7 linked regions of the Rattus norvegicus genome follow. The protein of the gene in region 2 purifies or fractionates together with the protein of the main gene of each other region. This does not show direct contact. Links are inferred from orthologs where the notes say so. Each region holds a gene or a part of one and is shown on either strand. Other genes may lie near its edges.

Region 1 (3,500 bases), on a different chromosome or scaffold from region 2:
ATTTGTTTTGTGCTGAGCATTGTGCCAGGTAGGTAGTGGGAGATAAATGGCTAACCAAGGCCAACTGTGGCCCGGTCAGTAGGAACTTAAAAGCGTGTCAGGGAAATAGCTGTAAGCACGTCAATGGGAGGTTGTGTCTAACTAACCGTAAGATTGGGAACAAGGAGATCTGGAAAAGGAGGAGACGCCTCTATCTAGCCTACGGGGCTTCGAAGGCTCAGAATAAAAAGGATAGCAAACAGTCTGGAAAGGCCAAACTGTTACACAGGGCAAGATAAGTCTTTGACAGTTCAGAAGGCTGACAAATGCTCAAATCCTGAGGAAAGAGATGACACACACTCAGACACCTGTGCCAACAGTCAGGTCAACAGAAACACTCAGGCTTGTCAGAAGGAAAACAGGCTCTGCAGCCCCAATTCCTCTTTCATAGACTGGAGATAAGAATTCCTAGAGCCCCCTAAAGGTTATTCAAGGACAAAGCTCATATATAATTTTAAAGCACCTCGTGCACTGTCTGACTTGTATATATTCTCCGTGCTGTAACTAGTTTTGCCTCAGGTTACAAAGATGATTAGGTTTTTGGGAAAACGATGTAAGCTATCCTAAGTGAGAAGGTTACGTACGGAGAAGCTGAAGGTCTAGTTAAAATTTACTACCACACCTAACAGTGAACCTTTGCCCATGGACACAGTGATGGATCAGAAGCTGAGTCACATTAAAATTTAAAAATGGCATGCTACTTACTTCTATATGTTCTTTACAGTATTCCAACCCAATGTCACTAAGTATTTTTTTCACAGTTTTCCGGGCTTTTCTTAAACTGCCAAGATTGTTGACAGGAAGTTGGAACATAGTTTCTATTGGAAAAAAAAATTTAAGTCAAGTCAAAACATGTACAACTTGTAAAAGTTACTACTTCCACTGATGACAGGATCCCAAACCCTGGCTCCCTCAGTTGAGAATCCCTTGCCTAGCACAGAACACTTGAGTTGAAGGCAAAAAGGTGAGTGCTTGGTGGCCTTCCCTCTCTATTTTACAAGAGGACATTTTAGACCACAAGTCTAGGCACACAAGTCTCAGTAAGCTGTAAAAATCTGTTCAGAGATGAATTTGAAGTTGGAAAATGAAAGCACCAATATCAATCAGCTATCTCAAAACCAAATCAAGTGCGCACGTCTCCTCTTGATGTTGGACCAAAGAAGCTGGGACCACTCCGAACTTACAGCACTGCTCGCTCGCTCAGCTTTCAGTGATGAGGGGATGAGTTTGCCATCTGAAATGTCCCGATCAAGGCAATGACACTCACAGAAGCAACATGTCATTCAGTGACTGTTTCTGTCTCCTCCTCAAACCAAAGTCCCAGATGGTAGTGGGACTGGCTCCTTGAGTAGCAACCAGGGCAAAGGCCTCACAAAGGCCTCACGTAGGCCACAGAATAAACACATAGATGGAAAAGCCATGCTTGTGGCACCAGAAGATACAGCAATTGCTGTAGTCTTTCTGGGATCCTTAAAAAAGTATAATGCCTGTGAGCGCGCGCACTTGTGCTTAAAGGAACCAAAAGCTGCCTGGCTGTCCCACATTCACTAAAGGTAAAATGTAGATCCATTTCCCAAGTTTCTTAAAAACCAAGGCACTTACGTTTATTTAAGAAAACTGAATTAGTAAAATTTAAGGTGAGATTTTTAAGGCTTTGAATGTGACTTTTTTTATAATAATCTAAATCCAACATAATTTCGCAGAATAAAGTAGCTCTAAGACCAGAGCCACAAAAAACAAAACGAACAAACTGACCCCAAAGCACCAGCAACTGGGATCTCATAAACCTGCACTCTAACTGTAAACCATCACCCTTACTGACAGCAAGCCTCAATCTGGGGATGCTGCCCTAAGACCCAGGTCCCAGAACACCCCATTATGAAATACCAACTTAGCTGGGTCTCCCAACACCAAAATGTTCACTGAAAACTCAGCACTTCCCAGCCTTATATCATTCTCTCGATAAACTTCTATGAGCTTAAGACCAGGGCGGACAGTGCTCTCTCCCCAGAAGGAGCAACATAACCATCTCTTCCTTCATACTCTCTGGTCTTTACACCAAACCAAGCAAGAAGGTTTCAATAAAACACCAGTCGGTGTCAGAATTAATACACATGACCTCCACCTCTTCCTCGGGCCACTACCTACCTGTTAAAGCACTTAGGGGGGTCAGGCTGGGCTAGGCCATAGCACATTTAGAATCCCAGCACTCAGGAGGATCATGAGCTGATGGCACCTCTACCCTAAATGGCAGAAGTCATGCACAGCTGATACCTTGGCTCAGAAATGTAGTTCAAGTCAGTGACTAGCTCCAGGATTTACCATTGTCACCCATCCAGGTTTTTTGCCTAAGTTTTAAAGAGCCACCCCAACCTCCCCAATAGCCTCAAAACCATGTTGAACTAGAAACCTCAACAAACAGACCATATTTTGAAAACAAAGACAACACCCTGCAGTGCAGAGGGAGGGCGGGCTGGGTGTACTTTCCTCAAATCCATCCTTGGGTCAGCAATCTCCCCTGCCAGCCTCTGTTCCTTATGATGGCAGTTTCTTACAGGTTCTTGCCCAGGAAAACCTCCTTTCACATGGCACAAACAGGGCCAAGTGTCCAACTTAATGGACCTGTCCTCTTGTTCATCAATCACTTCCAAGACACCTAAGCCTTGTAGGTCACAGTGCTGGGAACACATAGGAGGTCCTTGGGCAACACATTTCACACAAAGCTTGCTTGTTCATCAGCTTTGGGTGGAAACCACTCCTGCCACAAATGATGTGCAGTCTGTCAGTGAGGACTCGGATGAGCAACAGGTTTCACCTCCCTTGGCAGATACTGATCAGTACACAAAACTGTTTATGTGCTCAAAACATGGCTGTCAGGTGTGCTGGAAAGCAGAGAGGGAAAGAGGCTTGAGGCAGCATTCTCCTCACTGTGTCCACATCCTTTTCTAGACACAAGCACAGGTGCTCAAGCTTTGTTGCACCAAAAAGTCTTTGTAGAAATAATGGGCAGCAGGACACACAAAAGAAGCGAGTCAAATGAAATTGGGACTGATTAGAAAGAAGTCTGTCAAAAATATTCAGTAATTCTACAAAACCTCCCGGCCCTGACAACCACAACTAAAACACTACAGTCAATTGCTAAATTCTAAAATAATTTTGGGGGCAGGCCAATTAGCTCAGCTGGTTAAGAAATGTGGTGCTAATAGAATAATTTTGGGAATGTTCAATCCATGTGTTTTATTCACAGCTATGTAATAACTGGAAAAGCTAAACAGTATAAGGCAGGCTGACCCTCAGAGAGTCCCACCAGCCTTTACTTTGTCTCTGCTTCCTGAGAGCTGGAGTAAAGGCATGTGTTACCAATTCTGGCTTTTGAGACTGTCTTAAAAATCCATTTGGAATGAGTGAGTCCTACCCTTTCTCAATCTCACTCACACCTGGAGAGTAGAACAGGAGCATCA
Region 2 (4,037 bases):
TACCCTTCCAGAGGTCCTGAGTTCAAATCCCAGCAACCACATGGTGGCTCACAACCATCTGTAATGAGATCTGATGCCCTTTTCTGGTGTGTCTGAGGACATAGACAGTGTAATTAATATGTAACAAATAAATCTTAAAAAAATTGAAACTGTCAGCTAGGTATGATGGCGCACACCTATCTCAGTTCAGGGGCTGTAGAGAGAGATGGCTCAGTGGTTAAGAGCACTGACTGCGGGGCTGGGGATTTAGCTCAGTGGTAGAGCGCTTACCTAGGAAGTGCAAGGCCCTGGGTTTGGTCCCCAGATCCGGAAAAAAAGCAAAAAAAAAAAAAAAAAAAAAAAAAAAGCACTGACTGCTCTTTCAGAGGTCCTGAATTCAAATCCCAGCAACCACATGGTGGCTCACAACCATCTGTTATGAGATCTGATGCCCTCTTCAGCTACAGTGTACTTATATATAATGAATTTAAAAAAAAAAAAAAGATGATAAAATCCAAACATACCAACTTCTAGGTCCAGTCCTCAAAGTTGGAAAATGGGGGTATCAGGCTGATTCAACAGGTAAAGGTCCCACAACCCTAATGACCTGAGTTCAATCACTAGAACAAGTGTTACAGAAGAGAATGACCCCCACCCCCAAAGTTGTTCCTGATCTCCATAAGTATGTCATGGAACACCCGCCCCCACTTTTCAAAACTAAGGGAAGCTGAAGAGATGGCTCAGCAATTAAGAGTTCTCCCAGAGGTCCTGAGTTCAATTCCCAGCAACCATATAGAGGCTCACAACCATCTGTAATGAGATCTGATGCTCTCTGCTGGTGTGTCTGAAGACAGGGACAGTGTACTCATATACATAAAATAAAAAAAAAATAAAAAAAAGTGACTAGATAGAAAATTAGAAATGCTTTCACTGCCCAAATCTTTTAAGGAACATATGACTCTTTTCCCTAGGCCTTGAACTTCTGCTGCTCCTGCCTCTACCCCCCAAATGCTGGCTGTACTCACAGATAACTGGGCTCTTTTCAACACACCACCTCCCATATATGCCTAGAGAGCATCCAAGGAAGAGCACAGGCACCAATATCCTGATTATAGTCATACATCTATCAGAAAACCTTAGATCTTTTGATTAACACAAAACTGGAGAGGACACTATATTCTAGTGTAACTAGTATATAATATATATAACTAGTATATAATTTTTAAGACTTTTTATGGCACTGAAACATAACTCAGTGGTAGACAACTTGCATGTGTGCAAGGTCCTCAGTACCAAATACCGAAATGAGTTCCATATTTCTTTCTTTCTTTTTTTTTTTTTTTTTTTTGGTTCTTTTTTTTTCGGAGCTGGGGACCGAACCCAGGGCCTTGCGCTTCCTAGGTAAGCGCTCTACCACTGAGCTAAATCCCCAGCCCCGAGTTCCATATTTCATATACTGTGTTTCAGTATAAAACTATTTTCGATGCCTGTGGGCATGCAGGACCTGCTTTCTTTGGTCCCTGCCATACCCCACTTGTCAATCAGAGGACAATTTTGTGAAGTCAACTCTTTCTTTCCACCTTTACCTGGATCCTAAGAGTTAAATTGAGGCTTACACAGCAAGAACCTTTTTTATCTGATGAGTCTTGCCTCATACAGCCTCCCTACTCACAATAAAGACCTATTAAAGGCAGAAAGTGGCCTTTTCACCCTTGACTCCTCTGGTAGCCAAGGAAGGCCTTAAATTTCCGATCCACCGGTTTCCAGCTCCCAAGTGCTAAGATTACAGGTACAGGCCATCACACCCAGCCTAATTTATGGGATACTGGGGATTGAATCCAGGGGTTTGCGGCAGGGTAGGCAAACATTCTACCAACTAAGCTACACACCCCCAAGTACCCCTTTTTTCTTCCACATTTGACATGGACACGTTAGACTTCTACCCTACTTACCCCAGCAACTCCACTTTTAGACAAGGTCAAGAAAATGTCTGACCCTTCACCCCAAGACAGGTTCAACAAATCTCTTCCCCGTTAGCACACCCGGAGCAGCCCACGTCCAATTTTACTGGAAATTACTTTTTCATAACTCTGGCAAGAGAAATTTCTCTGATAGTGGCAATTGAACCCAATATCCTCAGGTTTCTTTTTCTTTCCTCCAAGTGCTAAGGGGATTGCCCGCGATTGCCACCGTGTCCACTCTCTCAGGTTACACTTCTAAACCTTTAGTGTACGAAGTCGTGATCCTTGCCACGCACACCCAAAGTACCAAGCCTGTCTCCTTATGGACGTCCCAAAGTTTTCTTCCTTCTCCCGCCCAACTCCAGAGTTGCTGAGCCGGGTCAAACGCTCCTCGTCTAGTTCTTGAAAAGCTAACCCTCCGATGGCTCCGCTCCTCAGGAACCACTCCGCGCCCGGACTCTGGATTCACTGCCCCGCCCTCTCCACGCTCCCGCAGACCGCGAGCTCTGCGCGGGAAACCGACCGGTCGGGCGCTGGGCCGCGTCCCCAGCTCCTGTCTCCACTCTTCCGTTAGCGGCCCGCGCTCGCCCGCGGCCTCCCGCCGTCGCTCCCCCTCCCGCTTCCAGCCCGCCTCTTCACCTCGTAGCAGCGCCCGACAGTCCGAGAGGAATCGGTGTCGCGCTTCTTGCGCGTTGCGTCAGGCGGTCCCAGGGAGTAGCACCCAGAGGAGCAAACAGCCGTGTGGCCTCAAGTCGGTCGTCCAGATGAAGCGGCGTACCGCAGGCCCGGCCAACGGCCCTCCCCTCAGCCGAACAAAAGAGATTCTCACTCTGCGCGGCCCGCCGCCTGCACTGCGCAGACGCGACGACCCGCCGCAGGGCAACTTGGGATTCAGAGTCGGCCCGAAACTACAAATCCCAGAGTGCCGCGAATCCCGCGCCGCCCACCTCCACTTTCAGGAGTTGTAGAGTTTTCTTTGTAGTTTCTTTTTTTTAACTTTCTGGAAAGGCGAAGTCGACTGTTTTGAACACATAACTCTACAGCCTAGAAAATTACTGGGTAATGGTGGGGTTTGTTTGTTTAATAACAGGGTACGTAGCCCAGCTGGCTTCGGAAGTTGTGGCCTTTCAATTGCTTCAAACCTCAGAGTGCTGGATTTCAGGGGCATGCTAGTACTCCTTGCTCAGTCTACAAAATTAGGACACGGGGGTTTGGAAACTAACACGTTGATGTTTGGTCACTCTGCACTTAAAAGAAAAATCTTATCATATTCGTTACCTGAGATTTATCAAATCTCCACCTTCAATAATGTCCAGCAAGCTTATCTATTATTGCCACCTAGAAGAGGTTCCTACCTCACAGTTTGAATCAGTATTCCGTTCAGAAAGTTAAACCTCTAGGTAGACACCATCGCCACTTTCTTAATTTTCTTTTTTTCTCTCCCCCTCCTTTTTTCTTGTTTCACTTTAGTTGTTTTTGTTGAGTGGACAGGGTCTCAAGGAAGCACTTAAACGCCTGATCTTCCTGCTTCCACTTCCCAAATGCGGAGATTACAGACATGTGCCACCACATGCAAAACTTTCCCTTTGTTGTCCTTGCCAGTGGGCGACTTTCATGGTGATTTCTTCATCTCCATGAACAAACTTTATCAAACTAGAGAAACAGAACTAAGCAAAAGGCACGACTGTCATTCTTTAACAAGTGCACTAGTTGTGATTCAGGTAGGTTGCTGCTGCTAATTGTTGGGCTGGGAACTCCAGTAAGGACAGAAGACTCATTGTATCCGCCACACTCAGTAAAGTCCTGTGCTTATTGCTAGCATGCATACGGTCATGCTTTGACTCTCAGTATTTATTGGTAAAAATTCATTGATAGTCGGTTTAAGTGAATATATGAGATGTCCAACAGATAATAGAACTGATCAAATTTTCCAAGACCTCTTGTACTAGTACTCAGGATTAAGGCAGGAGGATTGTTGTGAGTTTAAGAGAGGCTTAGGCTATGTAAGGAGTACCAGGCCAGCCTAGGTTATAGAATGAGAGCATGTCTCAAAAAACCAAAACAAGGACAACTTTCCTGTTCAAAAAACTTAAGACA
Region 3 (3,384 bases), on a different chromosome or scaffold from region 2:
AGTGAACAGAAAGTGGAGGTCCTTACTTCCTTTCACAAACTGCACCTTGAAGTCACCTCTCCCCCTACCATTGGAAGCAAGATAGCTCCTGCCATCTCAGCTGGAGAAGGGGTGGGTGGTGGGCAGCCCTCTGCATCGCTCCTGTTCACTGTTCTCTTCCCAGAGGCCAGGTCAACATCTAGTTGGGGCTGGCTTTCCTGAACCTTCATGACCAAATCTTACCCCCCTTCTTCAGATTATTACCTCAGAGGAGGCAGAGCGGAGGGGCCAGATCTACGACCGCCAGGGCGCCACCTACCTCTTTGACCTGGACTACGTGGAGGACGTATATACCGTGGATGCCGCCTATTATGGCAACATCTCTCACTTTGTCAACCATAGTGTGGGTGCCTCCAGCAAGCGGGCAGGGGGTTGGGAGGGGCAGGCCAGGGCTCCTCCTTACCTTCCCACTGTTCTTTCTTGCCCAGTGTGATCCCAACCTGCAGGTGTACAACGTATTCATAGACAACCTTGATGAGCGACTACCCCGCATCGCATTCTTTGCCACAAGAACCATCTGGGCGGGCGAGGAGCTCACCTTTGATTACAACATGCAAGGTGGGGGTGGTAAGGGCCCCAGGGGCAGGGGCAGTGACATGGGGATGTGAGGACCCCACCCCAAGGCATATATGGGTCAGAGTAGACCAAAGGAAATTCTTTTGCTGGAGTTTTAAGATGTTCTTCCTGATTTCCAGCCTCCTTTTGGACCCTGCCCATGGCTTATGGGTTCCCATATTTGTGCCCCCTGAACCCCAAACCTGATACACTTATGCCACCTTCTTTCAGTAGTACTTGTGGGAGAGGATGTTTGGCTGAAGTGTTAAGGCATACCTCACTTCCGTCTTGAATGAATTCCCCTACCCCTCCTGACTCTAATCCTCCTTCACCTTACTTGTTCTGAGCCTCTGGATACCCTTGCGGTTTCTAGCCTGACCTCTTCTTGACTAAACTAGTCATCTCTGAGACACTTGGCAGATAGTGGGCAAGAGTTCAGGTACCTTTTTAATGCCCAGGTTGACCTCTATTCCGCAACCCTGCCTGACGTGACACTTCTGTTTCCATGTCAGCCTTCGTCCTCGCCAGACATCCCTCAAAGCCACTCATGAACAAACCCCTCTAGTGTTGTGCTCTAGTTCTAACCCCAATCCACCATCCCAAAGATCCTCTCCTAACTCAAATCTCAGACCTGCTCCAAACCTCAAGATCCCTGGGTCTTCTGATATAAGGGGTAGCAGGACCATTCATGCAGGCCTTCTAACAACCCCCCTTCCCTGGCTGTGACTTCACAGTGGACCCCGTGGACATGGAGAGTACCCGAATGGACTCCAACTTTGGCCTGGCAGGGCTCCCCGGCTCCCCCAAGAAACGGGTCCGTATTGAATGCAAATGTGGGACAACAGCTTGCCGAAAATACCTCTTCTAGCCCTGAGAAGTCTGAGGCCAGACTAACTGAAGGGGCCTGAAGCCACCTTCCTCTTCTCTACTGCTACCCTCTTGTCAAGAATGACCATCAATCAGAGCCTTGTCTGCCTCCACTTGTCCTCACCTGCCCCAACCTGCTCCAGGGTCAGGGCTGTTGTGAGGACTAACTCCCGGTACCCTTTCCCTGTTCCTTTCCCCTATCCAGGCCCATCAGGCATTGCACTTAAAACTCCCAGCCCCATTTTCAGAAGCATATTTTTCACATCAGGATTCCCTAGATTTGGAATTCATGTCAATGGAGGTCCAAAGACTGAAAAGACTGAGCAACTCAGCCCCAAAGCAGATTTTTTTCTCTGCAGCTCTATGTAGTTAGTTCAGGCTGGCGTTGGACCTTTAATCCTCCTGTCTCAGCTTTCCTCATGATGAAATTATAGGTGTAAACCCAGCTAATTGTATCTGCTAATTTTCTAATTGTATCTGCTTCAGCTCTGAGCCCGAGTGACCTGTTGCAGGCCTCTTCACTGCTCTATGAGGAAGCAACCCCTAGGCAGACAGACATCAGAGCTGAGATACCAGCCCAACATCAAACTGGATCAGCAACCACGGGGCCTTTGTACTCATGAAAGAAAAGGCAATCTCCAGAAAGGCTGATTCTGCTCATTGTGCTTTTAATGCTGGCTAATACTAACCTTAAGACGCATAGGGTTGCAAAGAGAGTTGCAGGTCTGAAAAGTAGTTGCCCAAATCCCATCAGAATGGGAATGAAGTAAATACCTCTTTGAAAGCCCCTCAGAAGGGTTAGAACTAAGTTTTACCATCAGGAAGTAGAGTGCTGGGCTTACTGGAAACCCAGCCATGGCATTTGATGGCCACTAGAATTAGAAGCTGGAACCAAGATCTAGGTATTCTGTAGAAAGCACTTAAAAAGACAATAACGTGCATCGATTAGAAGGTGATGTGATGCCAGGCACTTGGTAGAGCACCTGGTCCATATGGATTGTCTCAGGGAAGCCTTGAAAACCACAGAGGTGGAGCCCAGGAAAAAGCCCATGTGACAGAAGGCAATGTCTAGGCCTAAAATACTTGTCAGCTCCAAGTATTCACCTGGGTCCACTTGTCTCAAAGTTAACTGCCTAGAGTTGTACAAAAGGCAAAGATTCTGATGGCTGCCTTGTCCCCTGCTTCCCCACCTCCAGGAAGCTTTTCCTGAGTTCCTATACCCAGAGTACCCCTTTGTGAAACTCTGTACCCTGCTACCAGATGCCAGGTCTGTGTGTGTATTTTGTATATATGTGTCCTGCCCACACTCCCCAGGCTGACCTTCAGGCATGGACTGAATCTGGTTTTCTGTGTACCCTCCTCAGCCCTCTCTAGCCTGGAGTGCACACCAATAAACTTTGTTGTTGAATTAATAAGCTGGAGATATGAGAGTTGAGGTCTTGATAACTAGGAAGTGAGAGAGGTTAACTGGGGTTGCTCTAGAATGTGGTCAGAGAGGCTTGAGTCATCTGACTGTCATGATCTTCCTACTTGGGGCCCCTTATAAAGTGGTCTAAACACTTGAACAAATAGTCCAGCCTTTTCTAAATTTATTAGTTGCCACAAACAAAAATAACTACCTGAAGAAATAGATAAAGTGGAGTTCAATATGCTAAATTCAAGCTGGGCCCTTAGTAAATTTTCAACTTAAAGCCTACCTGGTGCATTTGAAAAGGAAATACTACACAAAATTTTTCTGCCAATATTTACTGAGCAACTATATATGCTAAACACACTGCCTCATGTTTGGTTTTATCATGTGATCCACTGCTTGTGTTGTGCTCAGAGATTCTGTTCTGTAGGTGACAGTCTCAAACAGCCTTATACCATATGACAAAAGACATTCAAAACCCAGATCTTAGACCCTGCATTCACACTCAGATA
Region 4 (3,500 bases), on a different chromosome or scaffold from region 2:
TCAGGAGCCCCTTATCCTGAGTAAGCTTGCCTGTAGTCACAGCTATAACCAGCCATCACCTTGAGTCCCATAGTAGACACATCCCCTGCAGGAGACTGCAGGATTCCTACCCATAGGACAAGGAAGATAAGAAGTACCCTGTGGACCCCAGCTGAACCCCAGAGAATTCCACCGAAAAATCTGAGGTTTCTAGGGTGAAAAACTGTAGCCTAGGGCTGGAGAGATGGCTCAGTGGTTAAGAGCATGGACTGCTCTTCCAGAGGTCCTGAGTTCAAATTCTAGCAACCACATGGGGACTTACAACAACCATCTTTAATGAGATCCGATGCCCTCTTCTGGTGTGTCTGAAGTGACGAATATATGATAAATAAATAAATCTTAAAATAACAAAACAAAAAACCCAAAACGAACGAACAAACAAACAAAAAAACAAAACAAAACAAAAAACTGTAGCCTAACTTCTGGAGTCCTGCATAGTTCAGGTTCATGACAAGAAGTAGAGCATGTCACCAATAGAAAAGAAACTTACCTTCAGGCCATGGCTTGGGAGGCCCTCCAGGAGGCTGACCAGGCATCCCGGGGGGCACACCTGAGGGTCCTGGAGGAGGCATGTTGGGCCCTCCCATACCTATATTAAAGGAAAGAAAGCACCATAAATACAACTATGTTCAAAGCTGCTGGCCTACTCTCATATCAGCTCAGGGAACATACCCACCCACCACAATAATTATTGGCCAGAGTGATGAATAAATGGCATTTAGGTAGACATAACCGCCCACCCCCCACCCATCACAGCAGTCCTAGGTACCACTAGCTGGGAGCCAGGGTTGCCTGCTATTATCATACACATTAAGCATTCTCCCCACTCCAGCGGCAGGGATATAGGTCTTACCATGGGGTCTACTGTAATTCGGAGGGGCTGGTCCTGGACCTGGGCCAGGGCCAGGGCCAGGGCCGGGTCCAGGTCCTGTGGCAGACACTGAAGGTGGAGGTAGTGTTGGCATCTGCTGCTGCATTCCAGGCATCGGCCGCTTGCCTTGAACGGCCATCTGCAGGTGGTCGGGCAATGGCTGGCCCCTGGCCAACATCTTATAGGCCATTATCTGAGCTCTGAGTTGATGCAGCTGGTTCTGGTTAAATGGGGTTGGGCCTCTGTTTTGCTGCCCCAAGGCCTGGGGGTCAGAACCATCTAGTGGGGCCCCTCCTGGCCCAGAGGACATCTGAGGGCCTGAAGATGGGCCGCTGGCCGGGACAGGACTGGAGGCATGTTCAGAGCCACCTAAGGGTGAGGGGTAACCTGCAGGGAAAGACTAGTTCAGTGGTCACTCAGCAGCATGCATCTATAACAGCTAAATCACATCACATTACCTGGCATCCCTGGAGAGGTAACTAGGCAACATCATTCTCCTGAGTCAAACAAGAAGCACCCAGAGGTAGGTGGCTGACTGAGAGCCTCAGCCCAGCAGCTAATGTGGTCATGACACAAGCTAATGAGCTTGGATACATGCTTCAGTGGGGTACAGTTAATCAATTCAAAAGGTAAAAACTGCAAACCAGGCCCCATCAAGCCTGCCCTCTGTCCAGGTCAACTTCTCCATTGTCATTCCTATGAATCCTAGGACCCAGTACCTTACTTACTGCCCCTAGTGACGGGGGGACTCAACAAGTCATCTACAGTATCAATCATCCCCATGTAGAAAAGCCATCTTGCCTAAAGCAGTGGCCTAAGGCACCACTGGAGTTGCTAGCCCCAGCTCCATCATGCTAATCCCTGACCTCAAACAACATGCTAACCAATCATTTCTGTCCCACCTGTTCAGTATTCGAGACTGCTCCAAGGCAAGAGGGCTATATAGAGAACTAGCCACACGTCACCAGGGAGGCCAACCCATAGCTCAGTTGTACTAGCTGTCCTTGAAATCTCCACTAAAGAAAGCAGATTCTGAGCTCCAGGCACATGAACATGAAACAAAAACCAGCCCAAACTGTACCTTGAGAATGCTGGTCCATGGGACTAGGCGGAGGTCCCATACCTGTGTGGGCCCCTGATCGCATGCCCATCCCTTTCATTTGGTTGTATCGTGGGTCATCAGGCATGCCCTTCTCGTGCATGGACTCCATAGGCTGTAAGATGTACAAGGAGACAGGTCAGCCAAGGACAAGAGGCAGCTGCGCAAAGCTCAAGAGGCAAAGCTGAGAAAGAAGACCACAGAGGTCCACCCAAGGGGGCCAGAGGGCTAGCTCTGAGGCACACTCACCTTCTGGGTGTCAGGACAGACACAAAACCAAGCTACTGGAAAAGGTAACTACTTAGGCAGTGGAGGCATGGAGCTGTCTTTCAAGCCAGTGAGAACCACAAAGAAAGATGTCCTGGTCTCTTGCACTTTGTGCCAAGGAGACTTGCTGCAAACCTAGGGCTGAAGCCCTCACCCTTGGAGACTATAAATCAAGCAAACTACAAAAAGGTCTGCTGCATATTTAGACTGGACTACAGTGAGACTCCCCACTGTCCTCAAGGCCTCAGCAGCTGCCAGCTTAGGAAGGAAGGATGCAGAACTGTCCCACCACTGAGACAGCACAATGTTAGCAGGATGCTGCCATATGGCACCTGTGGGAGTAGGCATGCCTCCCAGGGAAACGGCTAGCGCGGCCACTGGGAGAGATTAATACCTAAGACCCTTCTGTCAGCTAGGACTGGTTATCGAGCACTGTGCTCAGCAAAAACTCACAGGCCAGCATGTGATGAAGGAGAGTGATACCAAAGCCACACTTAGTATAGCTGTAACAAAGGAAGCTGAGACGGGGCATGAGGGCAGCTTCCTGTGGGGCCACTACTCTGTGCAGGCTCCCCAAGATTGTTTATGCTGAGCAACAGGGTTGCCTACAGCGTAGAAGAGGTTCGGTGAGGTGTTACCCACCAGGACTCCAGGACATAGATTTCTAGATACATGGTAGGTGTCCAATGGGCAGTAGCATGTGTGAGCAATGCTAGGATAAGGAGCACAGGGAAAAGAGATGTAGTTTGTGGCACATGGAGGACCCTGTAAACCAGACAGTGGGCTCATACATGTGACCCAGAGCTTCCTTTATAGGGAGAAAGGAGCAAGATAAGTGCTCTAAGATGACAGAATAGTTCGGGAACTGGGAAGCCAGAGATGGAGGTGTCTCAGAAGCAGAGTACAAGGACAACCCAGGCAGAGGAATGAGAGAGGCGTGTGAAGGAGCGCCTTCCTCATTTGTGGATAGGGAACACAACCTAAACTAGGAAGCCTACAGGGGTAGGAAGCAAACACAGGAGCAACCCTGCAGGGAAGAGGAGCAACTGACAGCGCCACTATGGTAAACCCTCCTGCTGTCTTCAACTACATCTTCTTACACCCCAGCCTCTGTGGGCCCAGACAAATGCTGACATTACTCCCAGCCAGTCCTAAGAGGAAGACCAAGGCCTCAGGACAGGAGAGCTGCTTGGCAGACTGAATACTCTCCATGTATGTAGGCCA
Region 5 (4,300 bases), on a different chromosome or scaffold from region 2:
GCAGAGCACTCTACAGACTCAGACTGGACAACTCAACAACACGCCACGTCTCTCCTGTGTGGCTGGTGCACTTAGCAAGCACGCCTTTTCCTCCCAGAGTCACTTTGTGAGAAGAGTCCAGACTGCTAATCCTACACAATAACGACGTGTTTGACATGATAGACCTTCCACCATTTTGTATCTCTCAAGCTTTTCTTCTTGCTACCCAAACTCTCCAAGAACTTGAACAAACTGAAAAACCTGGGAGGCAATTAAGGCATGCAGGTGACACTGACTTTATAATTACAAATAACCTCAAAGTAACCCTAATTAGCACAAGACTAAGTGTAATTAAATATACTCAGTGTTGAAACTGAACTAGCCTTTCGACTGAACTCTTAGAAAAAGAGACAGTAAATTAAAAGCACTTTAAATGACCCACACAAGCCTCACAACAAGCAGCACTGTGCACTCCACTGTGCCTGATCTCACCACTTGTTGCATTTCCTAAGACTTGTACTAGCAGCAGCTGGTCTTAAAAGTCACTTAAAGAGCCTGAGAGGCGTCAAAACGACATTACAGAGTGAGAGACACCAGCATGGCTCCTAACACCGATTACATCCCTTGGCCTTCTCTAGCAGTAACAGCGGTTATCTCCAACTCCCCACATTAGTTGTCAAGCACGGTTTTTGTTTTTAATTTTTGCTTTTCTGGGTCATGTCAGGGTTGGAAAGTTCTCAAAAATCCATACATAAGCAACACTACTACAAAATTACATAACATTAACTGTTTTGTCTCAGAAAGTCTCACTGAAGACGCTTTAATTAACGGGGATCATCAGTAATGTCCCATTACCAGGTGCTAACAAAACTATGACAAGGGCAGGAGCTAGCGACCGTGTCCCACCACATCACCAACTTAATACGTGGCTAAGGCAAGGCCTAGGAACAGTAGCTCTTTCAACGGTCTTCTGTAAAACTGTATGATCCAGGGAACACACCTGACTGTGAGCGTAGCTCCTGCCTGCTAATACAACACTGTTCTCTGTTTGAAAGGAAGCTAAGAAAGGGAAAATGCATCCCAGGAAAGAAACAAGTAAGCTAAAGTTTTAATGTTAAAAATTTCAAAGACCTAAAGGTATTTTACTATTCCTTCACGTACTTATATTGATGGCACACGCAAGGACCAACTCCTTTGGAATTCACACCAGTATTAGTTACTTCCAATACAACACATGATGCAAATACAGTATTAAAGTATTCAACAGCAACATGCAAACCACTTCGTTAGAACCAGTCAAGCACTCAGGTTTCACCAATCTAAAAGTCTACACTGAGTTATAACTTCACTGTAGAATCTACCTTTCTCTCTTACCAAACCTACCCGAGATAAGGCACAGCTGTATTGCTGACACCTAGTTCCCTGGATACTTACACATGGCCCTGAAGCACGTTTTCTCGATCTGGGTAACTTTATAGTTGCTTGAGTTCTGAAATACTTTCCTTCGTGGGGCCAAAATTAACTAAACTACAACACGATTAAGGCAAATCCAAGCACATGTCCCAGATGCAGTAAACTTGGCATCAGTTGGGGCTGGCCCCAACAGATGATAGTGTTTGGGGTACTTCTGTGGAAATTAACTTGTGCACAGAACAGGACCATCATCATTTCAGGGCCACAAGCCGTGGGTATCCCCTCGTTGAGTTTAATCACATAATATTTGAAATCTAATATGAAAGTTTTATAACTACATTTAAGTCAGTATTAAACAGTTGAAGAAAACTTTTCCACTAATGTCGCTAAACCATGGATGGATCCCAACACGAGAGTCGTCTGTGGAAGTCTCGAAACAAGAAACCACCTAAGTTTCCAATCACGGGGAAGGGTCTGGGGCAACTCATCTTCATGTTCTCGGGAGGAGTGGATGGAGCACACCTGCTTTCCTCTGGCAGAGATTAAGCTCCCAGGGACACAAAGGCCAGGGAATCAGACCTGGAGAGGCAAAAAGCTTTAGCTAGATACCCACCAAGCCCCTTGGCCACCCAAACACTTCGCGTGATTTTTTTCCTTTTTTTTTTTCCTTTTTTTTTTTTTTTCCTTTTTGTACCTCTTGGAGTTACTTCCCAGGCACTTAGCGGCACAAGATGTTGCAGACCAGTGGGAAGAAGGGGAAAGCTATGTGCTCTGGTCCCAAAGTCAGGGGAGGGGTGTGGACAGTTAGCCCCAGAGTCGGGGCTGCAGGCCAGGACGGAGCAGCCGCACACCGGGCGCCGGCTGACTGCTGTCGGGCCGCCCCGTTACTCGGAGCGTTACAATGGCGACCGCAAGGCTCCCCAGGACCTCCAGATCGCGGCTCCCTTCCCCCTACCGCTCACTGGCTGCTCCGCTACATGTGACTAAACAAAACCCCCCAAGTCCAGAGCCCGGCTCGGCCCCTTTGTGTCCGCCACCGGATCCTCCGCCGCCGGAGCGGAAAGGCCCCCCCGCCCGCCACCGAGTCCCGCCCCGCGGCGGCCGCCGCCGCTCACCTAAGGTTCCGCGGCCCCCCGCGACCGCCGCCTCCCGGACCCCGCGACCCGGGCTTCTTCTGCAGCAGCAACTCCGCCTCCTCGGCAACCGCCGCCATCTTAGCCTGTGCGGCAAAACGCGTCCTTTCGGAGGGTTGGGAGCCAGCCTAGGGCGTAGCTCCCCGGGCCCGAGCGCCGCGGGCCGGGTTCCCCCACAACTTCTTCCGCCACCCTCAGTCCCGCCACCGCCTCAGCCCGGACGTCCGAAATGCAGCCGGGGCCCGGGCTAATCCAACCAAAATAAGACCCCCGAAACTCACAGTTTGGTGCCGTGTGCGTCAAACCGGGGCGACGTTGGGAGCGCGCGGCGTCCCCGCGTCACACGCCGCTCTGTACGCTACTCGGCTCCAACGGCCCCCTCCGCTCCCCGCTTCTCGCCTCCGGCCTCGGTTCCCACGGCGCAGGCGCGCGGCTTTCCCGCCTCTGCCTGGCCGCCGGCCGCCGTGGGAGGCCAGCGAGGCGCGCCCGTGCGCTGGGGCAGCCGGAGCTCCCGTGCCAATCAGACCCACGGGGGGCGCGGCAGAAACAGCGCACCGCTGCTCTCCCGTGCCAAAACCAAACAAGGTCACCTCCCCCAGCGGTGACCTAACCACTCCCGAGGAGGTTCCCGCCCCAAAGTAGGCACGCTCCAAATATGGTGGCAACCAAACTCTGCAAGACCCAAGTACCAGGAATGCCTAGGCCCTTTAAGGTGGAATAGGCCCATCTCTGGTGTCTGCAATCGCTAGTTTGCCAAAATCCCGTTTCTTTTCCTACTGTTGAAAGAATCAGCAACATATATACCAGGCCTACCTTGGCGTACTGGCACAGACAGGTTTTCTGAGGTTAAACAGCATCAGGTGTAGAAACTCTCAGTCAAGACACCCAGAAAGAAGCCCTAGATTTGGGTTCTGAGGGCTCTGCGAGGGCAGTTTCTGCACTGAGGAACATGCCTTGATGGTCCAAATTGGAGTCATGCAAAGAGACGTCTGAAATGCTGGTTAACTCTTCAAGTAATCAATAGATTTCCCCAGAGGGTCTTCTAAATCCCCCTTTTAACAAGCGTTCAGCCATAGGCTTCTGAGGGAAATGGCGCACTAATTAGAGGTATTCGCTTTGCTTTTGAACCGAGTCAACAAGTTCCTAACCTGTTGAAGGTGAACTAAACGTTCTAGAATACTCTAATGGGCCTGCCTTACAAAATTCTTTGGTTTGACTGAACTTTTTTCCCATGAAGAACTTTAAAAGTTCCCACTAGTTAAGCAACAATCATGAACTGCGTACCTCCGTGCCCTTCAAGATATCATTAACATCCAGAGGGATAAGCCATAATTGCATTTATTTGACAAGAACGAGGGTGTCTTTCCTGGAAAATGGTGCCTTCGGCAGCAGCAAAAAAAAGATCCAAAAACCGGATATTTTACTATCCACTCTAATTATTTCACTCGCTGATAACTGCGGACACTGGAGTGCTTGCTGTCTGTGCATCCATCAGGCATTCTTGTAGCCTGTGTGTGCAAGTTCATTACGACCTAAAGTGGCGAAGAGAGATTAGACTGTTTTCTCACAACCGCACAACTGTTGGGCTGTTTCGAAATGTAAGCTTGCCTTCATACACACGAATAGATACACAACATATAAACTCGTGTCTATTTTCGGCCAACTGCTTGGGAGGGATGTACCATAGAGACTTTATTTTTATCTCATGAATATGGGTTTTGCTTGAACGTGTGGCTGGGCACCACGTGCTTCATGCCTGGTACAGTGGAGTCCAA
Region 6 (4,052 bases), on a different chromosome or scaffold from region 2:
TGGGAAGAAGTGCGATGAGACATTTGTGCGCATGTCAGTCTGTATGACGGGAAGCTGAAAGACTGACTTCATTTCACCCACGATTTCTCCGCGGAGATGGGTGGGTAGGAACATCACGCTCACTTGCTGCTGTAATTTCACAATCAAATTAAACTACCACTTATGAACAAATAGGATAGGCCGGCTCTATTTCAGTTATGACTTGTCTTCATGTAGGAAATAAAAGCAGGTTGTGGTCAGTATCATCAGCCCAACATTGGACACGCTTAAAACTGATGTGGCCACTTATCGAGTGCCTATTATCTCTAGTAACTAGGCCAAACTGAACAGAAGGCAGACTAGAAAATGGTGCAATCGAGGCAGGAGGATAAAGGTTTCCGACTGGGCAGAGCAAACGTGGTGCATACCACCAGCCTGGGGAGAACCTAGAACCTAGATGGCGGTTGATGGGAGCCCAAGTCTTGGTTTGGTTGTATGGACATGACCTTCTGAATGGAGAGTTGATGAGGACAGGGGTTGTCAGACTGGGAAATCTCTGGGATCCATAAGGGGCGGGGATAGAAGACAGGCCTGTTAAAAGGACTGCAAAGCATTTTAAGAGAGAGTTTCTATTTGTCTTCTCCAAAAGTTTCTGCTGAGCCTCTTGCTGCATCTAGAGCAGGCAGGCTTTCTGTAGGAGGGGCTTGGTCTTTCCATGGATGGAGACTCAAAAACAATTTGAAAGCTCCTTCTCCATGTACAATCCAACTTGAGAAATATTCCACCATTATGCAAATACATGCAATTAAGTCTCTTGTTACACAGTGTGGTATGGATGTAACTTTAATTCTCAAAATTCTCAAAAGGTGTGACACAAATTTTCTTAAGAAGAATGATGAGTCAGGAGATCCTATCCCGTTGGCTCACCAAGATATGTCAATCATAGGCACACTGGTCCAAGTTCCTAGAGTTTCTAAGTCCTATCCTCCAATGGCAAGCCAGTATCCTCAGGGCTGGCTTCTTATTGGTTTGTAGGTATGGGCGGGGCCACCCACTAGGCTCCCACTGGCTCCACCCCCATTCCATGCAAAAGAGGGCAGAGCTCTGGTGAACCCATGTGATTGGTCATGTGGTCGAGGACGGATCGCCCCACCCCTTCAATGACGTCACCACCAACCCAAACTATCTCGAGAGCTAGCCCAGAGGTGGAGAGGGCTCTAGACCCAGGGGGTCCAGGGGAGGGGGCTGCGGCAGGCCCCACCCCCTCCAGATCCTCGAGGCCCGCGGGGTCCAGGGGCCTGGAGGGGCCCGTGAGATGAGCCCAGGGGGTCCCCAGGCACACTCTACACCCATTGGCTGGCCTCGTCGGCATGCAAATAAGGCAACGTCACTTCCTGAGGCAGCTGAGCGCCATCTTCTCTTTCTGGCGCGCGGGAGGAGGGACGGGCGCGGGGCGGGGGTCCCGCCGCGTAGGCGGAGGACGCGGCGGTGTTGCGACGGCGGCGGGACGCGGCGCTCCTCGCGCCCCGTGGTAGGTACGGTCAGCCCGGCCTGCGCCGTCCCCGATCCTCCCCGCGACCCACCCGCCGTCCACTCCTGGGTCCGCCCCGACGTCCCCACCGCTGTCCGCTGCGCTGTCCCCACTGTGGCCTGCCGCGCCGTCGCTACCACGGTGCCTTCGGAATCCCGGACATTCTAGTGCGCGGCTCGGGTCCCCTCCGCGCCCGCTCGCGGGTCACGTGGGAGCGGGGCCGTTCTGGGGAGGGGGAAGGGCGGGGACAGGGGACGGGGAGAACAGAGGAGAGGACTGGGCAGGGAAGGGGGACCTGCGGAGCCCGGGCACCGGGAACAGAGGCCGGGATGGATGGGGAGAGGGGGCGGGGCAGGGACGGGACGCCGGGCGTGGCGAGTGAGAGTGGTTGGGAGCGAAGGGAGGGTGGGCGAGGACGCTACTGGGAGGCGCGGAGAGACTCCGCGGTAGCGGGCATGGCGCCCCTCTGCGGCGACCCGGGAATCAAGCTGAAGCCTGACGATCAGTCCGTTGGCGAGGATGGCGGGATGCAGGGCAGGATTGTGGCCACGTCTGAAGCGCCGAGTTTTCTTGAAGGAGAAGCTGATCTCAGGCACTGCCGAGGGCAAAGCCCTGCCCCTTCATCCAAGATGCTGCGGCATTCGTGACTGATACGCAGATGCTGAGTGTAAAATTTAACTTTGCATCTGCCATTTTAGAGGGATTAAAATAGGTTTTATTCGCACAGTTTCTACAAAGGTTTGATTTGACGTAGTGTATTGTAAGCAGCACATAAGTTTTGTAACTATGCTTGACTTTGAACCAAAACTCGTTTGAGTGCTCAAAGTTAATGCGCTTAGGATGAGTGATCACTCCATACAGGTAACCAACCTGCAGTATACATTAGTACCGTCGTAACCTTCGCCTCAAGGGTTTTACTAGTTCGGGGCTTGGACTGGTCTAGTCTGATGTGGGAACAAGGGACAGCATGTGTAAGAAGTTATGGTAAGTGCGATGTTAAGCTCTGGTTGGAAGTCATGCATATCGCCTAGAGATGTCACAGGTGGTGGTGATGTTGGCCCCATAACGATGTCTTGGGTAGATGGAGGCCCTGGTCAGAAAATAGCGTTGACACAGTGATCCTTAGGTAGAGGTCCTTAAGCACAGATTTGTACTTAGGATAGGCAGGAAATGAAGTCATTTCAGGCTATTTTAGGCATCTCGTTGAGAAATGGGAGGAAGAGAGGTCTGGATCATTGGCTTTAGGGGATAAAAGTTAATGTAGTTTTTAGCTTGAGGTTTTGGGATTTGACGATATCTTTTTCATTTGAAATCAAGCTTTCAATGTACTGTTGCTTCATTGGTGGTCCCCTATACTCTGGGAAGGTAGGGCTTAGCTTTTCCACACCGCACCCAAATCCTTTGTCTGTTGCTAACCTGCTAGTTAGAGAAAGCAGATTGATGACGGTCAGGTGGCTAGAAAGGGGTTTTCCTGTGGGTTGAGGCAGACTTTCTGAATCACAGTGTTTGGAAGTTGCTAAAAGAAAGTCCTAATAATGGTTGGGGCATCTTACGGAGGTTTTTTTTTTAATATTTTATTTATTTATTATATATGAGTACACTGTAGCTGTCTTCAGACACACCAGAAGAGGGCATCAGATCTCATTACAGGTGGTTGTGAACCACCATGTGGTTGCTGGGATTTGAACTCAGGAACCTCGGGAAGAGCAGTCGGTGCTCTTAACCACTGAGCCATCTTTCCAGCCGCCCTCACTGAGTTTTTGATTTAGATTTTACTAATATGATGATTATGTGTAGGGCGTTACCAGTGCTGTCAACTGCTCTTGAAGTAAATTCCTTGCATTGCTTCACAGATGCAGGCAGCTGAGGCCCAGAGAGACTAGGTGGTTAGCTAGATTTTCCCAGCTATGAAGTGTTTGAGTTGGTCTCATCCAGGAAAAAGCTCCAGGACCTGTGTGCTGTGTGACCCTTGCTGTGTTGGCACCCAAGATAAACGCGTTTTAAAAATCAGATTTTGTTGGGCATGGTGGCAGATGCCTTCAATCCCAGCACTCAGGAGGCAGAGGCAGGTGGATCTTGGAGTTTGAGGCCAGTTTGGTCTGCAGAGTGAGTTCCAGGATCACCAGGGCTGTCTTGAAAAACCAAAAACCAACCAACCAACCAACCAACCAACCAAACCAAACCAAACCAAGACCCAGATTGTCTAGGAACTAAGATTTTCTGTGTCCTAAAGGGATTATCATCTGATCATCTTTCAAAATGTGAAGTATGTGTGTGCCTGTATGCTGTGTGCCCATGAGGGGAGGTGCTTGTAGAGGGGGGAAGACCAGGTCAGTCAACAAACGAGCTCTGGTGCTGGGAACTAGACCTGGGCTCTTTCCAAGAGCATGGGCTTAAACATTGAGCCGTGGCCCCAGTCATGTACATTTCTTTCCGACTGCCTAAGTGTGAACAAGGACAACAACAGACATCCTTAAGTGGATGGTGGGAGGTGGGGGGACAGGACATAAGGCTGCTACAGGTCACTAAGGGAGTGGAAGAC
Region 7 (4,062 bases), on a different chromosome or scaffold from region 2:
CTAGGCCACCCAAGTCTATATATTGAGACCTTGTCTCCACAAAACAAACAAACAAACAAACAAAAACAGTTGTCTTGGCCTTTACAGAAATCCACCCCCAGCCCCAAGCTTGCCCTAGCTGGACCCAGATGTCTTCACTGTACTTTCTTATACCTCAACTGGTTGTCTGGCACTGGCAATGTCTTTCAGTACCACCACCAGGGTGGGCTGGGGGACCTGGTCTGTCTTTTGTGAAGGGCTCTCCTCTGGGCCGGGGGCCATCCTTGATCTCATCCTCGAGGTGGGTGAGGACTGGCGGATACGACTCAAGGGTTCTCTGCACAAATGCAGTGGGTCAGGAGGCCTAGAGAAAGAACGAGGTCAGTGGGCTCAACTATCTTCTTGGTTTATCCCCTTCCCTTTCACACTTGCCTGGCTTCCAAGGACCACTTGACCTGGTGGGATGGTAAAGTGGGTGACTGAGTGCAGACAGAATCCTGCTGATGGTTGTGATTCAGTAGGCTGGGGACGTCTGCTTTGTGTGCCAGGGGAACCTACAGGAGGAAGAGCTGTTAGAAGCAAGCAAAACTGGGTTCACTGCTATAATCCCAGCATTTGTAAGGCCAACACAAGAGGATTGCTGAGTTCTAGGTCAGCTTGGGCTAAAAGGTGAGACCCTGTCTCAGTAAAACAAAACAACAACAAAAACTAGAATGGCTGGACAGGGTCTTCTGTGTCTCACTATGTCCTTAGCCACAAAGGTGAGAGAGATTTTAGCTAGAATACACTCAGATTCATAGAGGAGATGATTTGGTCTTAATTAAGGGTGAGATGTTAGTCAGGATCTACAGGTGTAGAAAGTAATCTACTCTTCTCCCCAGGCTCTGGAGAGACATAAAAGACAGCGTCATTTTCCTCATCTCTGCCTTGTGGCCAAAGGCACCACAGCATGATTCCCAAGAGGACAGAGAAGTGGCAATTTTGGATTTTTGGTTTCTTTAAAAAAAAAAACATACACAAATATTTTGTTTTTGTTTTAATCCCAGGTGTGGAATATGGGGCTGCTTTAGATTGTCCACAGCCGCTCACTATGGTTTGCCTCCAGCAGGGATGTAATTTTGTCAGCTGCAGATAGTTTCTGCAGTTGTGTGACATTTGGAATTCTGGGGACTTTCAGAGGACATATAAATGCTAATGCCCCCAGGAGTGGGTGGGCTGTTTGTTGACTGGATGTTTGTTATTGTTCACAGGAAGAAATTAGGTATCCTGATGGCGAAGATCAAACTTGCCCCGAGGAACTCAACACCTCTAATCAGCAGAAAGTAGTCTACCCCTGCCTTTATTCCGGGATCTCTTTCTTTCCTCTCTATCCTTTTTCTCTTTTATCTAGTGTCAGGGGGTTGGTAGGATGGAAGAAAGAACCCAAAAGAGAACTATAACAGCGTAGTCAGAAGAGTTTTTCATACTCAGTAGGATGCAGTTGGTGGAAGGGGTGATTGGATGGACACACGAATTCCCCCAAACCATGAAGTCTTGCATTACGGAGGCTGCTTTGAAGGCTGGTTTAATGGAGCAGGTCTGACTTGAGTGCTAAGCCAGGGCAGGGATGGAGGATAGGGAAGGGGGAGTGGTCTTTCACTTAAAGGGCTCACCCTGTTTGTAGCCATGACATCTTCTAGCACCACGGCCAGGACCCTCCGAGAGGCCTTTTCCAGGGATGAAGGGCTCCCCAAAGGCTGCAGCCTCGGTCTTTTCGGGCTCCTGGCTTCCCATAATGCTCGAGCTAGAGGCTGACGGCACAGGCTTGGCTGTGTAGAAGGGCTGGAGGGTGAGAGAAGTAGAAGACAGTTGCCGGAACCTGTTGTTGGCTCTTGTGATCGGGTACAGCCGTCAGCATCCCGGTCTCCCGAGCTCAAGTCAGGCGGGCGGGGTACGCTCTCACCTGGAGTCCCCAGGCAAATCCATGGGGGAAGCGGCGGTTCCGGGGAGTCCCTGGGGGATCCCAGGCTGAGGCCTGGGGTAAGTTGGGGAGCGAGGGAGTGGGGAGTGAGAGCCAGCTCCTCCCCCGGGACTCCGCCCTTCATAGTCCGCCTGCGGCTCCCGGCAGGGCACAGGCCCTTCCTCCAAGGGCGCCCCCGACCGGCCGCTCAGAGCCGGGTCCTCCCGTTGCAGCCGCCTTGATCACTCGGGCCCTGCCTGGCACCTGCCGCGAGACTGGATTGCGGAGGTTACAGCTCTCCACAGGTCGAGCCTCCTGGGACCTTTGTCCCTGTAGATGCCTCCCTGAGGTTCTCTGGGATCCGGTGGGATCCCGGTCCTGAGAGGCTTCCGTTTCCGCTAGATTCCTGTGTGGTCCTTGCCCCACCAAGCAAGAGCTCCAAAAGAATCACTCCACATACTAACAGCCCTCCCTCCTACCAGATCGCCTAAATTGGATCTCTGAGGAAAGAATCCTACTGCACGGTTCTTCCAATCAGAAGCCGCGCGACTCCCCTCCTCCCACTGTGAGCTTCGGCTTAACGAAGTTCCCCGGGGGGAGGCCTAAACTCATCACCGAACTCAGTCCGGATCCTGGGGTATAAACTGTCAAACTGGTAGACCATTCACTCCAGTCCCAGAAGGTCCAGCCCACCGGTAACATCCCACCCCAAACCCCCGCCCTACTTGGATCCCCGCCCCGCGTTCTCGGGCGCCCCGGACCAGTTAGTTGGCTCAAACCTTTTCTTCGCCCGCCTCCCTGCCCTCTCTCCAGCCCGGTCCCCCCCACCCCTCCCCTCCCCCGCGTCGCTCACCGCAGCTTTCCAAGGATCCGGGGTTTTCAACAGCTCCCACCTCCGGCTTCTTTAAAGCCAGCCTTACACAGCGCTGTCCAACCGTCAGAGGCCTTTTTCTCTGTGTCTTAGGCACCGCCCAATCACCGGTCCCGGTCTTCCGGGGTTAGGAGAAACTACGTGAAATCTCCTGCCGGCCATACTACCTAGGGGCAAAGAAGCTAAATTGGTACTGCACCGCCATTATAATTGAGGGCAGCCCGGTTTTAGCTCTAATCGACCGAAAAACACTATGCCAGGTTTCTTGATATATCTGGACAAGTGTAGGGAAGCTAAAGTTTCTCTACCTAACGTATTTTTTTCTTGTTCCTACGCCAGTGAATATCGATTAAATGCTCAGGACTTGGTAATTTCCCATTCTCTTAGGTTAGGTTCCTCAGGATTGAGGCTACGGGGGTCGGGATGGCAGGACGGAAAATCTGAAGATCCCAAGCCTGATGTGGCCTCTAGCTTCCTGTTCAGTTTCTGGAGAGACTGGGAATAGCTTAAGTGGTGAGACGGCTGGGTGCGGTGAGCTTTATTCACTAGCGTTTCTCCTTCCTCCTTTCTTCCTAGGTAGTGTCTGCAGGCCACTCAGAAGGCGACCAATAGAACCAACCTGGGGTTGCTCCGTGGCGCGGGTTCAGTGTCTTTCCTGTTCTGGGCTGAAGTATCTCTTGGAAGAGGAGCATCCTCTGCAGGGTGTCAGGTAGTCTTTAGGAACTGAGTAATAAGGAGTAGAATTCTAATGCTTGGAGAGCCGGCACCAATGGACCCTTTGTTAGGAGCTGGACTGTGGTGTGGAGGAAGTCATTTACTGGCATTTTGCACACGGTGCACTGTGAATGTGCACCTAACTGAGGCTCCTAACTTCCCTAGAATTATCTGTCATCCCTCCCCTTCTCTCTTTGTGTTGATGTTGGTATGTAGAGGCCAGAAACCATTGGTGGGTGTCTTCCTCAATCGCTCTTTTTAAAGAAAAAAAAAAATTACTTTTTAAAAAAGTATGTTTTTTCAGATCTTTGTGAGTTTGAGGTCAGCCTGGTGTACAGACTTAGTTCCAGGACAGCCAAGAACCCTGTCTCCAAAAACAAAACAAAAACCAAACCAAACAAACAATAAAACAAGTATGTTTGTTGCCGAGTGGTGGTGGGATAAACCTTTAATCCCAGCACTCAGGAAGCAGAGACAGGTGAATCTCTGAGTTCAAAGCCAGCCTAGTCTACAGAGCTAGTTCTAGGACAGCACAGGCTACACAAAGAAACTCTGTCTG

Evidence for each region.
Region 1: the proteins of Cbx1 (region 2) and Adnp purify together in Homo sapiens (affinity purification with mass spectrometry; 6 studies listed by BioGRID and IntAct, with this or other methods). This does not show direct contact. The link is inferred for Rattus norvegicus from reciprocal best matches to the Homo sapiens genes CBX1 and ADNP.
Region 3: the proteins of Cbx1 (region 2) and Suv39h1 purify together in Homo sapiens (affinity purification with mass spectrometry; 3 studies listed by BioGRID and IntAct, with this or other methods). This does not show direct contact. The link is inferred for Rattus norvegicus from reciprocal best matches to the Homo sapiens genes CBX1 and SUV39H1.
Region 4: the proteins of Cbx1 (region 2) and Smarca4 purify together in Homo sapiens (affinity purification with mass spectrometry; 3 studies listed by BioGRID and IntAct, with this or other methods). This does not show direct contact. The link is inferred for Rattus norvegicus from reciprocal best matches to the Homo sapiens genes CBX1 and SMARCA4.
Region 5: the proteins of Cbx1 (region 2) and Zfp644 purify together in Homo sapiens (affinity purification with mass spectrometry; 3 studies listed by BioGRID and IntAct, with this or other methods). This does not show direct contact. The link is inferred for Rattus norvegicus from reciprocal best matches to the Homo sapiens genes CBX1 and ZNF644.
Region 6: the proteins of Cbx1 (region 2) and Adnp2 purify together in Homo sapiens (affinity purification with mass spectrometry; 5 studies listed by BioGRID and IntAct, with this or other methods). This does not show direct contact. The link is inferred for Rattus norvegicus from reciprocal best matches to the Homo sapiens genes CBX1 and ADNP2.
Region 7: the proteins of Cbx1 (region 2) and Prr14 purify together in Homo sapiens (affinity purification with mass spectrometry; 3 studies listed by BioGRID and IntAct, counting the BioPlex papers as one, with this or other methods). This does not show direct contact. The link is inferred for Rattus norvegicus from reciprocal best matches to the Homo sapiens genes CBX1 and PRR14.

Annotation. Positions count from the first base shown.
Region 1 is NC_086021.1:177,319,189-177,322,688, forward strand, and holds part of Adnp (activity-dependent neuroprotector homeobox protein), read right to left. Parts: intron 858-3,500; 5' UTR 853-857; coding exon 745-852; intron 1-744.
Region 2 is NC_086028.1:82,265,525-82,269,561, reverse strand, and holds the start of Cbx1 (chromobox protein homolog 1), read right to left. Parts: upstream 2,801-4,037; 5' UTR 2,580-2,800; exon of another isoform or gene 1-2,579. UniProt on the Homo sapiens protein: Component of heterochromatin. Recognizes and binds histone H3 tails methylated at 'Lys-9', leading to epigenetic repression. Interaction with lamin B receptor (LBR) can contribute to the association of the heterochromatin with the inner nuclear membrane.
Region 3 is NC_086039.1:17,103,059-17,106,442, forward strand, and holds the end of Suv39h1 (histone-lysine N-methyltransferase SUV39H1), read left to right. Parts: intron 1-235; coding exon 236-382; intron 383-467; coding exon 468-597; exon of another isoform or gene 598-603; intron 604-1,328; coding exon 1,329-1,462; 3' UTR 1,463-2,884; downstream 2,885-3,384. UniProt on the Homo sapiens protein: Histone methyltransferase that specifically trimethylates 'Lys-9' of histone H3 using monomethylated H3 'Lys-9' as substrate. Also weakly methylates histone H1 (in vitro).
Region 4 is NC_086026.1:28,460,819-28,464,318, reverse strand, and holds part of Smarca4 (transcription activator BRG1), read right to left. Parts: intron 2,125-3,500; coding exon 1,992-2,124; intron 1,298-1,991; coding exon 893-1,297; intron 629-892; coding exon 530-628; intron 1-529. UniProt on the Homo sapiens protein: ATPase involved in transcriptional activation and repression of select genes by chromatin remodeling (alteration of DNA-nucleosome topology).
Region 5 is NC_086032.1:3,248,684-3,252,983, reverse strand, and holds the start of Zfp644 (zinc finger protein 644), read right to left. Parts: upstream 2,801-4,300; 5' UTR 2,606-2,800; coding exon of another isoform or gene 2,508-2,605; exon of another isoform or gene 1,414-2,507; intron 1-1,413.
Region 6 is NC_086036.1:75,868,839-75,872,890, reverse strand, and holds the start of Adnp2 (activity-dependent neuroprotector homeobox protein 2), read left to right. Parts: upstream 1-1,252; 5' UTR 1,253-1,349; coding exon of another isoform or gene 1,350-1,510; 5' UTR 1,511-1,514; exon of another isoform or gene 1,515-2,196; intron 2,197-3,068; exon of another isoform or gene 3,069-3,609; intron 3,610-4,052. UniProt on the Homo sapiens protein: May be involved in transcriptional regulation. May play a role in neuronal function; perhaps involved in protection of brain tissues from oxidative stress. May be involved in erythroid differentiation.
Region 7 is NC_086019.1:191,513,166-191,517,227, reverse strand, and holds the start of Prr14 (proline-rich protein 14), read right to left. Parts: upstream 2,801-4,062; 5' UTR 2,772-2,800; intron 2,748-2,771; exon of another isoform or gene 2,698-2,747; intron 1,994-2,697; 5' UTR 1,945-1,993; coding exon 1,922-1,944; intron 1,801-1,921; coding exon 1,632-1,800; intron 534-1,631; coding exon 412-533; intron 344-411; coding exon 154-343; intron 1-153. UniProt on the Homo sapiens protein: Functions in tethering peripheral heterochromatin to the nuclear lamina during interphase, possibly through the interaction with heterochromatin protein CBX5/HP1 alpha. Might play a role in reattaching heterochromatin to the nuclear lamina at mitotic exit.